2 linked regions of the Styela clava genome follow. The protein of the gene in region 1 binds, or shares a complex with, the protein of each later gene. Links are inferred from orthologs where the notes say so. Each region holds a gene or a part of one and is shown on either strand. Other genes may lie near its edges.

Region 1 (7,687 bases):
TATTCCACTCTGATTTTGTAAGTAAATTGCAAACAATACATGCTAAGGTTGACCCTAGTGATCACAATCCATTGCGAGGCAAAATATTGAAAAGAATTGACATCCCTTTAACAATAAATGCCTATGATCTCACCTCTTCTTGTGGATGTGGTTCATCTGACGACCAGACTCTCAAGAAACTGTGATGGATTTTTTTTCTTTTCCTAGTGATGTATTCATGCAAGGCAGATAAAACTTGATTTAATTCTGTTGACCTCTGATCTTGTAACAAAGCACCAACCCATGGCAGAGAAGTTAATATGGAATATGCATACCTGGAATAGTGAACGTATATTTGTTAATTTTATTTAATAAAAGATACAGCCAAAGGTAGCAATTTAATAATATGCTGAAAATGAATCAACTAAGTGAAAAATTATAAAATAGAAATTCAAGTTATTTAAAAATTGTTTTACTATTCAGAACTCAATCACATAGATACCGATTTTAGGTCTAAATAAGCATATCTACGCCCAATATAATGTTTTAACTTTTAATAATTTTGAAGTAAAATTGTGAAACCAACATATAACATAGTAAAAAACATCAAATGAATAAATATTAAATTACTTAGTTTTGGATATATCATTGCCAGCTGATGTGACTTCTGGCTTCGCTAATATTTGTCAAATTTGATCTTACCTGTCTACCTTATTTTGGATATTTACTTTTCTTTATTTTGGATATATATATGTTCCATCCACATATTTTCAATGTGTTTTTCGAATTATACATACTTTCGCTCTACTATCTGTTATTTGTAGCTTATTGTTAATTAGTTATTTTTGAGCTGGGGCGCGATACTTGACAAATTCTGAAAAGGGGGTCCGGCTTAAGAACCACTGATGTAAAATACTCACCAATCTCTGCGAGCTTGAGGAACATCTTCTTCTCTAATTACAGTAAATAAATTTTCGTAAAATCCAAACAATGATTCAGGAGTAACCATGTGGCAATTGACAAGATCTGCAATAAACTTCACCTGAAATTGAAATACAAAATTTTAGGAACGTCGACAATAGCAAACAGTATACTATCATGAAGTATCTTCTGTGTCTGCAATGTAGAAAGTTTTATACAAACACGAGAAACATCAACTATATTTGGAAATTTATAATGCTCTGGCCTCTGGGTGATTGGTACGCATGACCCCTTTTTTCATAACTAACGGCACCATCTTAGTTAGATTCTACATGTTCTAAATCAGGGGTGTGCAACCTTTAATAATAGAGAAGGGCCAGATACAAATAACTGGGTAAAACTGCGGGCCGCACCTTTATTTAACATAAGCTGTCTAGTAGTTGCAAGCACAAACATTTTGGTTGTTGATCTCATGACATTCGTTGCTCGCTACGCACAAGCAAGCTGTTAGGACACGGTAACTTCAAAGGCATAAATAATACTAAGATACCACTACTACTGCATACTACTAAGATACCACTGCAGAATGAATATATATACTTACAACATGTCGAGCATCATCGTACTGATTAGCATTTAACAATCTTTTTAATTCACGAACCATCATTTCAATAAAATCCCCCCCACAATTGTAATTTCGAACATTTAGCAAACCAACAAGAGTTGTGTATATCGTACATTTTTCTGGAAGTTGATAAGAGCTGAAATACAAAATGTAGATGTAAAAATATAAATAAATAAATTTATATTTTAAGGGAATTTTTAACTGTCTGTATGATTCCTTGTTTTTTTTCATCATAATTCATTGATCATACCTCTGTAGGTTATTTAAAAACCTATATAAAAACATATATTCCCTTTTAATTCAAGAGCCCACGACCTGGCTTTGAGCAAAAAACACTCCAAAAATTAATACCAATGTATAAAAGGAAGTAATGGCTGAATTTACATTAACATAAATTTTCCTTTTATATGTGCTGTTATATGTTTTATTCATTTTTTAAGAATTACTCATTCTAAATGCAACCTAAAGTGCTCATTTGAATATAAATATTATACCAGAATATATAATATATGGCAATCACTAATCACATTTGGGTCCCAAATAAAACTGAAACTGCAAACTTTTAGGTTCATAAATATGAAGAAAATTTACATTTACTAAAAAAATCACATATAAAAAATAAAAAAAGTACCATAAAACTAAAATCCTTAAAATTTGAGGTTTGAAGTTTGGTAGATCTGCTTCAAGTACAACCGACAATCCTTCCAAATTGCTTTCCAAGGATGAACTGCTTTTTTCTCCAACTCTACAAATTAATGATTCAAGTCTCTTCTCAATTTCCTCAGAACTTTCCGTAGTCTTTCTTCTCTTTGAGAGATTTCCACCACTTGCTTCAGCTGGATATAATACATAATTTATTGATAGTCTAGGATTCGAAAATATTCTAATAACATTTGAAAATATTGGAACATTGTTATTCAAATTTAGCAGAATTTGCCACTTTATGAAATTTTTTGCGAGATTATACGATATAGGCAGGCAGTCCTATTTGTATAAATGCAGAAATGAGTACACATGTACACGGATAGTCCTATACCTGCGTCGAATAAAATGTGGTTTGTGAATCGGACATGCTGTCGCTAAAAACACACAATTATGTGAAATATTTTGATATGTGAACAAATGTCCAATGAGATGCCAGGATGCAAAATTATACGGAAAAATTGAACGATTCTCTGTCAGTAAAATCTTCTAAGACCACTATATAAAAGAATAAAGTGTGTAATGGGAGGAATGTTTTTACATTTGTAGTGCTCATTTTAGTAGTTAAACCTGTATACTGAAATAACAATCAATACGATACCTTCATCTTCTGATGACGCGTCCCTTGCATCATGAGGTCTTCTTCTTGACATTTCAACCGAAGGATAGAAACAAATCTCAAGTTTTTTTAGTTATACATTGACTAAATTCTTAAATTTGACTTTCTGAAGTACTGGTACCGGTACTACAGTACTATACAGAAATGACAGAATAAGAAGCTTTTGAAGTAATGTCTCTGTGAAAATTCAAAGTTAACATTCTGACATTAGGTCTCTGTGGGGCATTCGAAGGGATTATTGGAATAGCAGGTCAGCCTACTTGTTTAGCAAATAAATACGGTCAAATTTATTTAAAAGGTTAAAATCAAAATATATTTTTAAAATCATTATTTCTGAATTATAAATCAATTAATTATCAATCATTGATTTCGGTAGTCATAACATACAACTAACATAAAAACGTAAAAGTACACGCCCGCCCATCAAAAAAAATAATAATACAAGCATACAAAAAACACGATTCAGAATCGGGCAAAGCTTCCACATTGCTGAAGGGATCTATGGACAACTTATAACAAAATTTTGTTGGATAAACTTAATGTAGTTAATAAACTTCTAACGACTTCTTCCTTCCAATTATGGTAATTGCAGAATTGAGAGATCACTAGAATTTGGTTATTCTAACAATAAATATTGTAAAAATCTGCTGAATTGACTGATTGAGATACTGCTGTACTGAGCTAAAAGTCTCACACTATTATTTTTTTTGATGGGATAATCTAATAAGTAGCCTATAATATATAAGTACAGAAGTATAAGTTTTTAGTCTATATAATGAAACATAACTAAAAGTACTGAAGTATATAACCAGGCGAACAGTCATAAAATAAATAATCCGTTATTAATTTTTCACATGTCAGTATGTCTATTGCATCACCAATTTTTAGTATATTGAGTTATAATATGTACGGTACAATAAAAGTGAAAAATTAAATATATTCAGATATTAGACATGTTCATTTTTATACTAGTCAATTTATACACACTTGATTCATAGTTTAAATACAATTTCTAAGTAGACTATTTCAAATTCCCTGACAAAATTGGGTAATTTTCTATTTTTTTCAATGTTGAGTCTGTAAGTGATTGCAGTTTTTATTTGTTTGATAACTAGGTGCTGATCAGGGGGGATACCGTACCTTCGAATATAACAGAATTTCGTTGTATCCATATTTTATACCGGTATCTAGTATTTTATTTTTATTGAGAGAGAGAGAGAGATTTATTTTCGTCAACCAGAAAAAAAAAACAGTCATAACAATAAATAATGGTAACAATATATACACTTTTTTCGGTATAGACTGGAAGGAGCGATACGACCATGCGGTCATCGGAGTCAGCTCCCTCCAAGTTTACGCTGATTAGTTCACAGTAAAATATGACTATTTGAAGTGGTTAAAATTCATGAAACAAAATTTGAAAGAAAAGAAAAAAAAAAACGAACAAAACAAAAAAATGGACTAAGCAATTGTTCGTGTTAACATCTATATATACAAACAAACAATTTGAATAAACATGGTAATACAGAAAAGTTATAAAACTAACAAAATAAATGTGGTATGATGCAACTAAGAAGCCCATTACTATTTTTCATTTGAAGAAATATTGCATTCATTTTGGACTGGGAGAATAATTTATGAAGGGATATTACAAGCATTCGTCATGGATACATATTTGGAAAATATATGTAAGCGGGATCGGGATGCTATTTATCGTTTTGATATTACATGTGATGTTGTTATCTAATTTACCTAAATTGCCTGCAATTGGGCTACAAATTTCAATAGCCATCGACATGTGATGATTAAAAACAAAATGAGAAAATAAGAGAAGGGCTGAGGCGCATTATACAAATTGAACAAAAAAAATATAATTATTTTAGCAAAGTAAATTTTTAAAAGATAAGATTTGTCTTTGAGAAATGAAACAGTTTGAACGAATAATCAACTATTACACAGACTATTATTTGAAAGCGAGGTCTAAGTCCCATGAATAAAAAACAAATTTGGCTATTGGACTACTACACTCAAATGTAATGTTGGACACATAACAATTGTTTGAGTGAGTAAGCGGTAAGCCTCACATATAAAAATAAGTTTCCGGAGATAAACAAAATGGTACTCATAGTCATGTGAATATAATATTGGGAAACAATTGTATAAAGAGTGGAATCAGCCTTATAACAAGAAAGAATTTAGACAGATGGGTGACTAATACCCACAAATACATATATAAGTACCAATTTATAAACTATTATATGCCCCAAATGTGAAACAATTTTGGTAATCTTAATATCGAGTGGAAATTTGGATAAATAAACATTATTTGAAATAGAGAGGGTCAGCCTCTCAAATGCACAAAATAGACCTCAATATAAAGAATATGGCAAGGGTTCAGCCTCAAAATTAGATGGCAGTTATTGCAAATACACCAATGGTTCTCATAATATAAATATGAATAAATAAACTATTATTTGAATCAGCAAGGGTTTGCCTCAAAATTAGATGGCAGTTATTGCAAATACACAAATAGTATTCAATATATAAATATGAATAAATAAACTATTATTTGACTTAGCAAGGGTTTACCCCAAAATTAGATGGCAGTTATTGCGAATACACAAATAGTATTCAATATATAAATATGGATAAATAAACTATTATTTGACTTAGCAAGAGTTTGCCCCAAAATTAGATGGCAGTTATTGCGAATACACAAAAAGTATTAAATATATAAATATGGATAAATAAACTATTATTTGACTTAGCAAGGGTTTGCCCCAATATTAGATGGCAGTTATTGCAAATACGCAAATAGTATTCAGTATATAAGTACGGAGAAATATACTATAATTTGAATCAGCAAGGATTTGCCTCAAAATTAAATGGCAGTTTTGGCGAATACATAAAACAGTACTCAAAATATAAATAGGATAAATAAACTATTATTTGAATCAGCAAGGGTTAGCTTCAAAATTAGATGGCAGTTATTGCAGATACACAAATAGTACTTAATATATAAATATGAAGAAATAAACTATTATTTGAATCAGCAAGGGTTAGGCTCAAAATTAGATGGCAGTTATTGCAGATACACAAATAGTACTCAATATATAAATGTGGAAAAATAAACTATTATTTAAATCAGCAAGGGTTAGGCTCAAAATTAGATGGCAGTTTAGATTAGATTGCAAGGGCACCAATGGTGCTCATAATATAAATAGCCTATGGATAAATAAACTATTATTTGATTATTTGATTGGCTCACCCAATGAGTTAGAGAGAGAGAGAAGGTTTATTTCATTTTGTCAAACCAAGAAAACAATTTATGCACACATAAACAAATATCAAAAAAAAAGTTTTCGGTATAGGCTATGACTGGGGGGCAACGATACGACCTTTGGGGGTCATCAGAGTCAGTTGCCACCCAATTATATTAAATAAGAATAAAAATGAGTGATTTAAATAAATAGCCTATGCAAAAAAAGAATAAATGTCTAAACAAAATAAGTCCCTATTCCTTTGAATTCCTAATCCATTTGTTGAAATTGATTTTCATAGTTTTTTCAGTTTGTTTCATCAGTGATTATTAGTTCACAATATTCTGAGTCTAACGAAGTAAACGCCGCAACCCAGACTGGCAGATTCCATGACAATGCACGCCCGAGGGCGCTAGCGCTCCGCAAAAATGCACGCGAGTGGAGTCAATTTTGCACGCCGAAAATTTGCAATTGCTCACCAATGAAACCGGGTAAAATCAGTAATATATATATTTACGGTCAAAATAGCTTTTAAATCAAAAATCGAGTAGGCTAATAATTGAGTCCCACCGAGTGTTTATGTTACACAAGTTTGACGCCCGAACAACACCGGTACCCGTTCGTGTCTTTGTCTTTTTTATTTTGAATATATGTTTGTGTTGAATGTGGGTAAACTGGCGCATGTATATTTACGTATATTAAAACTTTATAAAGGCTTTGTCAGTTTTCCCCGATTTTCCCAATCTTCTCTGTGTTAATTGTTTGTATTTTGTGTATGATTTTTTTGTGGAAAAATTAAAATGTATGCCAACAAATCGTAGCTCCACGATCGATTGTTGACTACATGGTAGCTTGCAAGATTCGGCTTGATCGAAAAATGCGTAGCAAAAACGACTTTATTTCATAATTGCTTGGTGGTGTGGCGCATCGTGTTGAATGATAGGTGTTAATAATGTCTTAGTTATATGTTACGGTCAACGGTTATATGTCAACTGAATACGCTTACACTTTTTTATTACACCAGCGCAACACACAACATAAGATGCTTACAGCAACAGAACATATTAGAGAGTGACGCAACTGCGACACGTTAGCACCAGACACATAGCTCAATCAATTATTATGGACGTTACTCGACAATGCATTATTAGCCATCATCAACAATAGGAATTCGGTTAATATAATTATGTGCGAGTAGATTGCTGGACTCCTCGCCGACGCTAGTCAGTTACGACTTCCCCCACCAGCGAAGTATAGAAATAATGTTAGGGGGTTAAAGGTCAAGCGTCAATTCTCCTCTGATATAACGTATTTTTTATTCAATAAATTTAAGCGGATGTACTAAACAGTATCTAAAGTGGCAAAAACACTCTCAAAACTAATGACAAAGTATAGAAATAATGTTTGAGGGTCAATGGTCAACTGTCCATTTTGCTCTGATTCAACGTATGTTCTATCCAATAATTTTACGCGGGTGTACTAAACAGTATCTAAAGTTGTAAGAACACTCTCGAAATTAATGACATAGTATAAAAATGATGTTTGAGGATCAAAGGTCAAACGTTCTGCTCTGATTCAACG
Region 2 (7,453 bases), on another chromosome or scaffold:
TGTGCACAATTCAGTTCCGCAATTCCAATTTGAGAAATACACTAATAAAAATGAAAAAGTCGTAATAAAAATTAATTTTTGTGAAAACAACCAATGCAGGAACAGCGATGTCATCAGTTACAAGTGACTAGTCATGACCGACCAGCTATGATGTTCTTTCTGGAGTTAAGGCTCCGTCATGTTGGGTTATTAGAGTAACCTTGAACATGGGCATTTGCTAATTATAAATTTGAATAATATTGCCCAATATCAGATTTCATCAAAGCCCAGTTTACAGCACTACGCTATTTTTTGACTCAAGCTTGTGTCTGGAACAAATTTACAATCAACTCCAAACTGCTTTTGAAAATAATTTTGACTACAACTCCGATCGGGTTAAGTAAAATTACGATTGAGAGAATGAAATTTAGACGTTAGGGAATTCAGACTCCAGAGCGTTTGAAAATACAGCCCGGACTCAATTATCAACATGCTAAACTCTGACCCTGCTTCCAAGCAGGATATTTATTATGTCCAACATGAACGTTATTTGATGAAAACTCCAGGCTGCAAATATTTGTTAGTGTAGAGATGCACTTGCCAGTTTTCTATTAATTAAGGATGTCTAGGTTCTTTTATTCCAGGAATAATTTAGGAGGGCTCCATGTTGAAATTTGTCATCTTTGGCAAATACCATTAGACTGTCAGACAAAAAATGAGGTTAGTTCAATTCAAACTCAGAAGTTGTGAAAAGATTACCATACATTAAAATGTTTGGACCAAATTTTGAAGGTGACAAATTTGAATATATTCCTCCGGTATGCCATATTCAAATAAGTTATTTCAAAATAATAAACAATTTGGTAATGGTCATCCCTGGTCGTACGATAACGATATGGTCGTACAAAGATAACTTGTTTTCAAGATAATTCTATAGTGGCTGCAACCCAACTTACATAAAAATGGCTTTTTGTCCAAATAGGTGGAAATAAAAAGTACAATTTCATGGAGTAACAGCAGTTATCCGACAACTTCGCAGAGTTTTTCTCTTGCCACAGAGGGCACAGACAGCCATGAAAGATTATTTAGTTTTGTTGTTGATTTTTCTGTCCGAACTTGTTAGGATTCTTTGGTTTTAGTTGAGCTCTGACACCAAATCCTCCCCTTCCTGGGTCATAATCTGATCTGTATTCATCACGAACCTGAAGACAAAAACATAAATATGTAATTTTATCATAAAAAGTCTAGTCGTGCACAATTGGAAATGTGCATTTTCCAAAGATATTAAATTTGTGATTGAAAGCTTCAATATTAAATGATCAGGAAATAAACTGCACAGATAGGACACAGATAAAACATTTCAGCATAGATTTTCGATGTCATTACCTACCCAAAAATAAATTAAATCAACTTTTTTAAATTACCAATTGAAAATTTATTTGACACAAGTTTAGACCCACATTTTGACTCATGCTTTTGAGTTTAATTTGAGGAATTTACCTAGCAAGTAGCAAGCATTACCCAAGATGTTGGGAAACATTTTTTCAGAATGAATTTGGAGAAGTGGATTATTAAGTGCTGGTTATCTCTGTCTTTACTCCTCTGTAATATACAAAACAACTGCAAAAAACATACCTGTCCACCAGATTTTCCTCTTCCAAATTGCCTTCCTTCTTTGAATCCAGCATCCCAGTCTGTTCGCACAACTCTGTCATCAAGCCTCGTTCCGTTTATATACCTGATGGCATCAGCAGCGTGATCTCTTGCGTAGTATCTGAAATAAATGTACAGGGTGTCCATAAAGCTTTTTAACAATTTAAAAAAATTATTACATAGTAAAATGATGAGATATCGCAATGAGGGTTGTTTTATGTTAATCAGTATTTCATAAAATTGTTATTGACACATTTAATACACTTATATACGGGCACCATCAGTTATAAAAAGCACATCCAGACGGTACTTAATTTCCTGTCATGTTCGTTGTAGCATAGCCTCATCAATGATTGCAATGGCACTGGAAATTTGGGTCTAGTATAGTTTAGTACTACAAGTACTTCCAATGGACGTAGCATAACGAATTTTGCATATGTTATTCCTCACCCCCACCTGACTATGCCATCCACTACGACGAGGTCACCATCATGTCATAGAGCTTGCCAAAGTATAATTGAGATCGCCCGAAATGGCATCTGCGACGCTGATAACGAACTCGCTAACGCCGGCTATCTCCCTCCTACCTCGATTTCGGGTGATCGTCTGCGCATTTTGGACGACCATCCGCATACTTTGGTGGGCCTTCTTACGCCACTTTGACGTCGAAATGACGTAATGTTTCGGTGACGTAGTCAGGCGGGGGTTAGGATTGACATGTGCAAAAATTGTTGAGCCAGGCCAACTAGAAGTGCATGTGGTACTAAACTATACCAGACCTGTAAATTATATGTTTTAGGTTGGTCATGTCCCGTTTATTTGTTCGATACACAATATACTTTATATAACCCTAAAGAAAGAAGTCCAGAGGGCTCGTATCTTGTTTCCTAGGGCTCCAAGAAAATGACTGTTGAAAATTTGAGAAAACGATGTGTAATTGACTATACCCCACAAAAAAACTTTACTTACTCAACAAAGCAAAAGCCGCATGGCGTTTTCTTATATTTATCTAAACCCATAACAACTCGTTTAATATCTCCGCATTTTCCAAAGAGTTCATATATCTGTTCTTCTGTTGTATAATATGATAAATTCCCAACATAAAGCGTTGTAGTCAGGTTCAAAAGCTTGTCTTGTTGGTCACGACTCCCCTTGAAATGCTGATCGCGGTACGGCGTTAGTTCTACGTAAGGATCCTTGGCTACAGGCCTTAAAATAGTCTTTTCCGTTATATCCACATCCATTTTAATAAGTGTTACTCCTCCAATAGTGAGAATGAACAATATTTTAAAAATATTCGAGAAAACGCGTTTACAGTTTCACAACCCTGCAGCTACACCTCTGTGAAGTTAGCAGAAAATGTTGGGCCTACTCTAACCTTTGACCCAAGATCTTCGTAATTATTCGGGCATGCTTTGGGCTTGAAGTGAAAGTGAAATAATTCGGCCCGCGACGCTCCACTGAAGTATAGATACAAAACGGCTGCTTTGACGATTATATTTTTTAGGTAACAGAGTTTATTGTGAGTCACGTGTAGACTAAATTATAATATGACCTAACACGCAAAAAGTATTCAAATGGACTTTTTGAGGTGCAACGCATTGGGGAAATAAATCTATATTCTATTCGAGAGGTGTATCACTGGTTGATTTTTATAAAAAAGTATTTTCTTTGAGGAAAACTCTATCCAAAATTAACAACAAAATTAACCATGCGAAAAAATTCACATTGATGTTTTTGGAAGTAGGCTACATATGCATGCGAACAATTATTTTCGAAAATGAACATAACAAAAAACAAGAGAGCTATGCTCAAATATATGGACACGTAGACTCACATAATTTTGATGACGTCATAGCGAAAAAAAAGTAATAGCCTTTATCTTGAACCAATGAAAATTTCAAAGCAATTGGTCCAGTATTCGAAGAGAAAAGCGACTTCTTCAAAACGTGTTGATGGAGACAAATAATAACAATAACAACAAAATTTTGAAACGATCGTTATGTCCACTACGTGTCCAACAAGCAGAAAACTCGGATGAGTGATTCCCATTTATATAAAATGTTTTAATCTTGGTTTCATCCAGTGTCCGATTTGAAAATGTTTCCCAATTAGTGTGATGTCGAAAACGTATCAAGCGTGATGCATTAAAAAGTGTCACGTTAAATGTCAATAGTAAATTTTTTTCTGAAAGTAAAATGACGAAGTTTAGTTCATGAGTTGTCTCGGTTTTTGCGTGCTGCTTAAAATTTAAAATTTTCACTTCTGTCTGTGTGAAAATTGTGATTTATCGGCCATTCGTTCGGTTTTTATTTTTCTAAAAAAATATGCGGCCATAATTTTGGTCCGCGAGCTACAAAAGGTTGCCGAGCCACGGCCTAGCCTAGACCCTAGGACAGGGATTCCGGACGTGGTTCAGATGGACCCCCAGGTGACTAGTCCAAAATTGTACAGGGTAATAATATTGAGTGCATCAAAATTAAATAGTTCTATCAAGACAGCAAGTGATTTTAACTTGGATATTTCCAAGAAACACTCGGGGGAAAAGGCCCACTTTGAATAAAAATTAGGGGTCCACCATTAAAAAGGCTTGGCGAGCCCTGCTTCGGGAGGATAAAAAGTCGATAGACTGCTTGGTAATACAGCTAACTAGAGCCCTTCGTTCGGTTATCAGTCCGCATAGGTTATCCCATAACCATTATTGGAATTATTACCCACGGCGGTGTGGCGCGTCGTGTTGAGCTGAAGCGCTCGCTACCGCACCTCTGATTAACTTGCGTGCATTTGCAGGTTCGAATCCCGAGGGGATTATTATGTGCGAGAGGATTGCTGGACTCCTCTATGATTATGAATGAAAGTGTGACGAACCGGTAACTCGCGTGGTTACCAGTCTATATCGGGTATGCAATAATGAAAAGCGTACATGAAGACGAGAAAATAAAATTCACGGGCAAAGCCCACTTGTAAAATTGTAAATAATTTTGATGAGCGAAAGTGGTAAAGAATATAAAAACAATTAGAAGTTATACAAAGGTGCCTGCGCCCGAATGCGAATCCTAATAATGAGTGATTAGCTTCAATTTTTTTGGTAAATAGACAAAGCTAAAAAGTAAACAACAAACATAAAACTAGTAGCGTTGCCCTTTGCTGTGTAACAAAATTGGTTCGAATTTAAAAAGTTTACATTTGAGAATTTGTAATGTTGATCATTTGCCAATGAAGGTCATTCATAAAATTAACTTAAATCTGGCAACAACTACCGATCCAAAAACTTCAATATGCATGCAGACATCTCGGCTTCTTTACACCAAAGCTACTCAACTATTTTCACCGAAGATTCGTATAAAATCTTCGAAATTATTGGGGTCCCGTATTTCCAAAAATAGATTTCACAGTGCGCCTAAATATATTTCAGTGCCTACAACTTTTAGGTTTAAGCGTAAACTGAAAAACGGTTTGGTGCAAATAAAAACATAACTCTCAGTACAGTACAGAAAAGAGAATTTAATAGAAGGAAACCTACGCATATCCTAACTCAACTCTTATCCTCCATGGTAGAGTAGGCCTACTGCTTCTTTTTGGTTTTCGTGTCTATTTATTTGAGCATCGCTCTCATGCTTGTAATGTAATCAAAATTGAGAACTGTAAGATGATATTTATGACCTCATTATTAATGCTATACTTGTCACCGTTGACTTTGCTTGCTTACGCTCTCTCTTGCTCGTACTGCATGCTGCTAAGTATTGCAATCTATGATGTCTATGTTATATCCATAAATATACTCAAACATCCTGAACAGTTGTGTGTTTACCCACAAACAAACAAGAACGACGTAGCATAAATTGAATCGTTTCGTCAGCCTGATTCTGATTTTTTTGACATACTTATAGACTTTTCGTTTGATTCATGAAGAGAATCTATTGGCCACGTTTTTAAAAACAATCAGTTTCGTTGGAAATTCATCAGGGCAAAGCCCACAAGACACGGATTCGTGAAAAAAAAACATTGGCCCGACAATTGCTGAATCCGCACAAGTACAAGGCGAGCTTGCCCTTAACACAGTGCCCATCAGTTCTCCCTTTCCATTTAGATGACGCTGCTCGATAACCATGACTGGTTTATCGTCTCCCTTCACGCTGAAATACATTATTTATATTTTATCCTACTGTTTGTAAACTTCCGTATTCTTAGTATGTGCAAAAATAAACTACTGACAGACATCTAAAGATAACATTCACATGACCTTGACAACATAAAGCTTCTCTGAATTATTGCCGACTCATTTTTTTCTTATATTAAAATTGCCTCATAATTTCGGGTAGTATACTCTTACCGTAGCCTATCATAAATGCTTAAAAAAAATTAACGTTGTGAATGAGAAGCCTCGGTGACCTTCATTTGTTTACAAACTGATCCCAACAAAAATGATATGATCCGAATTGCGGATTTTATATTCAATATTGTATATATATTTACTTGTTAATGGTGAAAAATCTCTTCTTCTTTCCTAGACACTAACAATCCCATTACATATAATTATTGCTCATTAGTTCATTGAATCGAAACTCAAAAGATTAATCAGTTTAGGCCCAGGGATTCTCAAACTACAGAGCCTTTGTAGAGGTTGACTATTATTCACAGCCCCACAAACATTTTTAAAAACCAATAAAAAAAAACACAGTGTTACTTACCGATTAATATTCCTGAGTAAGTTAAAATTACTTTACTTAATTTGAATGTTGAATCTTTTTTAATAGGGTTAATACAAGCCATGAATAAATCTGAATTTCCCAGATAAATTATATATATTATGACTGTATTAGGGCTTTATCACTTGACAAACATATCAATAAATTCGGGGTCGAACTCCTTCCCTTTTGATATTTTTGGTAGACTGAAACCGTTGCTAATAACGTGTGCGATTGTATATTTTGAAATCGCCGATTGTTTTTTAGACCGTGGTTTACGTCAGTGGTTCCCAACCTTTCTACCCTGGTGGACCAGTAAAATTAAAATAAAAGTACTCGCGGACCGGCAAAAAATTGAAATGACCGAAACAGAAAAGAATAACATTTATTTGCGTAGTACAGCGGTGTTTATTCTCCCCAAATCACAAAAGTTCCTTGGCATATGCAGGTATTGTTCCACAAGGACGACGATAAAAACTTTTTTGTTCTCGTACGGAATTGTAAGTTCAGTGTGAAAAACAAATTTCTTGATTGAAAAGCGGCATTATAAAATATTAAAATTTAACATAAAACGGAAGATAAGACCATAAGTTTTGTTTTAGCAGACCCACGACAGATTAAAAACGTGTAAATCACAAAATTTGGCGTTATGTCAGGTTTTCTTCGGAAATTATACGGTAGTCGCTGAAATCAAAACACGGTCAATTATGCGCGCGATGTAACTTTTACCCATTCTGAAAACACCGCAGGAACCGCATGCGACTTTTTCTCGTTATGTGGCGATGATAATTATTGTGAAGTATATCAATCAATTTTTTTGCAGTTAAAAAATTTCAATCGTTCGTATTTTGTCCGGAAATTTCAAACGTTAAAAAGAATCAGGGACAGACCTGCGATAGAGCGGAGTAAGTGTTGCAAGAGCGGCCCAAATTTGTCGAATTCGATAAATCGCTGTAATTTGTCACACAATCAGTCATGATATACAAGTGATAGCCATGATATATATCGTTTATTTGACTTTGTTTCCAATATATTTATAGTTGGCAGTTTAGCAAGTGTTTTATGTTATTTTAGAATAGTAATCTTTCATTTTAGTAATTTCGACTCAAAGACGAGAAGCGATGAACAGAATT

Evidence for each region.
Region 2: nuclear cap-binding protein subunit 1-B-like (region 1) and nuclear cap-binding protein subunit 2-like share a complex: the UniProt entries of both Drosophila melanogaster proteins name them as parts of the nuclear cap-binding complex. The link is inferred for Styela clava from reciprocal best matches to the Drosophila melanogaster genes Cbp80 and Cbp20.

The regions. Positions count from the first base shown.
Region 1 is NC_135261.1:13,146,811-13,154,497, reverse strand, and holds the start of nuclear cap-binding protein subunit 1-B-like, read right to left. Parts: upstream 3,003-7,687; 5' UTR 2,881-3,002; coding exon 2,829-2,880; intron 2,362-2,828; coding exon 2,157-2,361; intron 1,662-2,156; coding exon 1,505-1,661; intron 1,022-1,504; coding exon 900-1,021; intron 315-899; coding exon 134-314; intron 1-133. UniProt on the Drosophila melanogaster protein: Component of the cap-binding complex (CBC), which binds cotranscriptionally to the 5'-cap of pre-mRNAs and is involved in various processes such as pre-mRNA splicing and RNA-mediated gene silencing (RNAi).
Region 2 is NC_135252.1:23,083,299-23,090,751, forward strand, and holds the start of nuclear cap-binding protein subunit 2-like, read right to left. Parts: upstream 3,007-7,453; 5' UTR 2,877-3,006; coding exon 2,602-2,876; intron 1,754-2,601; coding exon 1,615-1,753; intron 1,182-1,614; coding exon 1,065-1,181; 3' UTR 1-1,064. UniProt on the Drosophila melanogaster protein: Component of the cap-binding complex (CBC), which binds co-transcriptionally to the 5' cap of pre-mRNAs and is involved in various processes such as pre-mRNA splicing and RNA-mediated gene silencing (RNAi).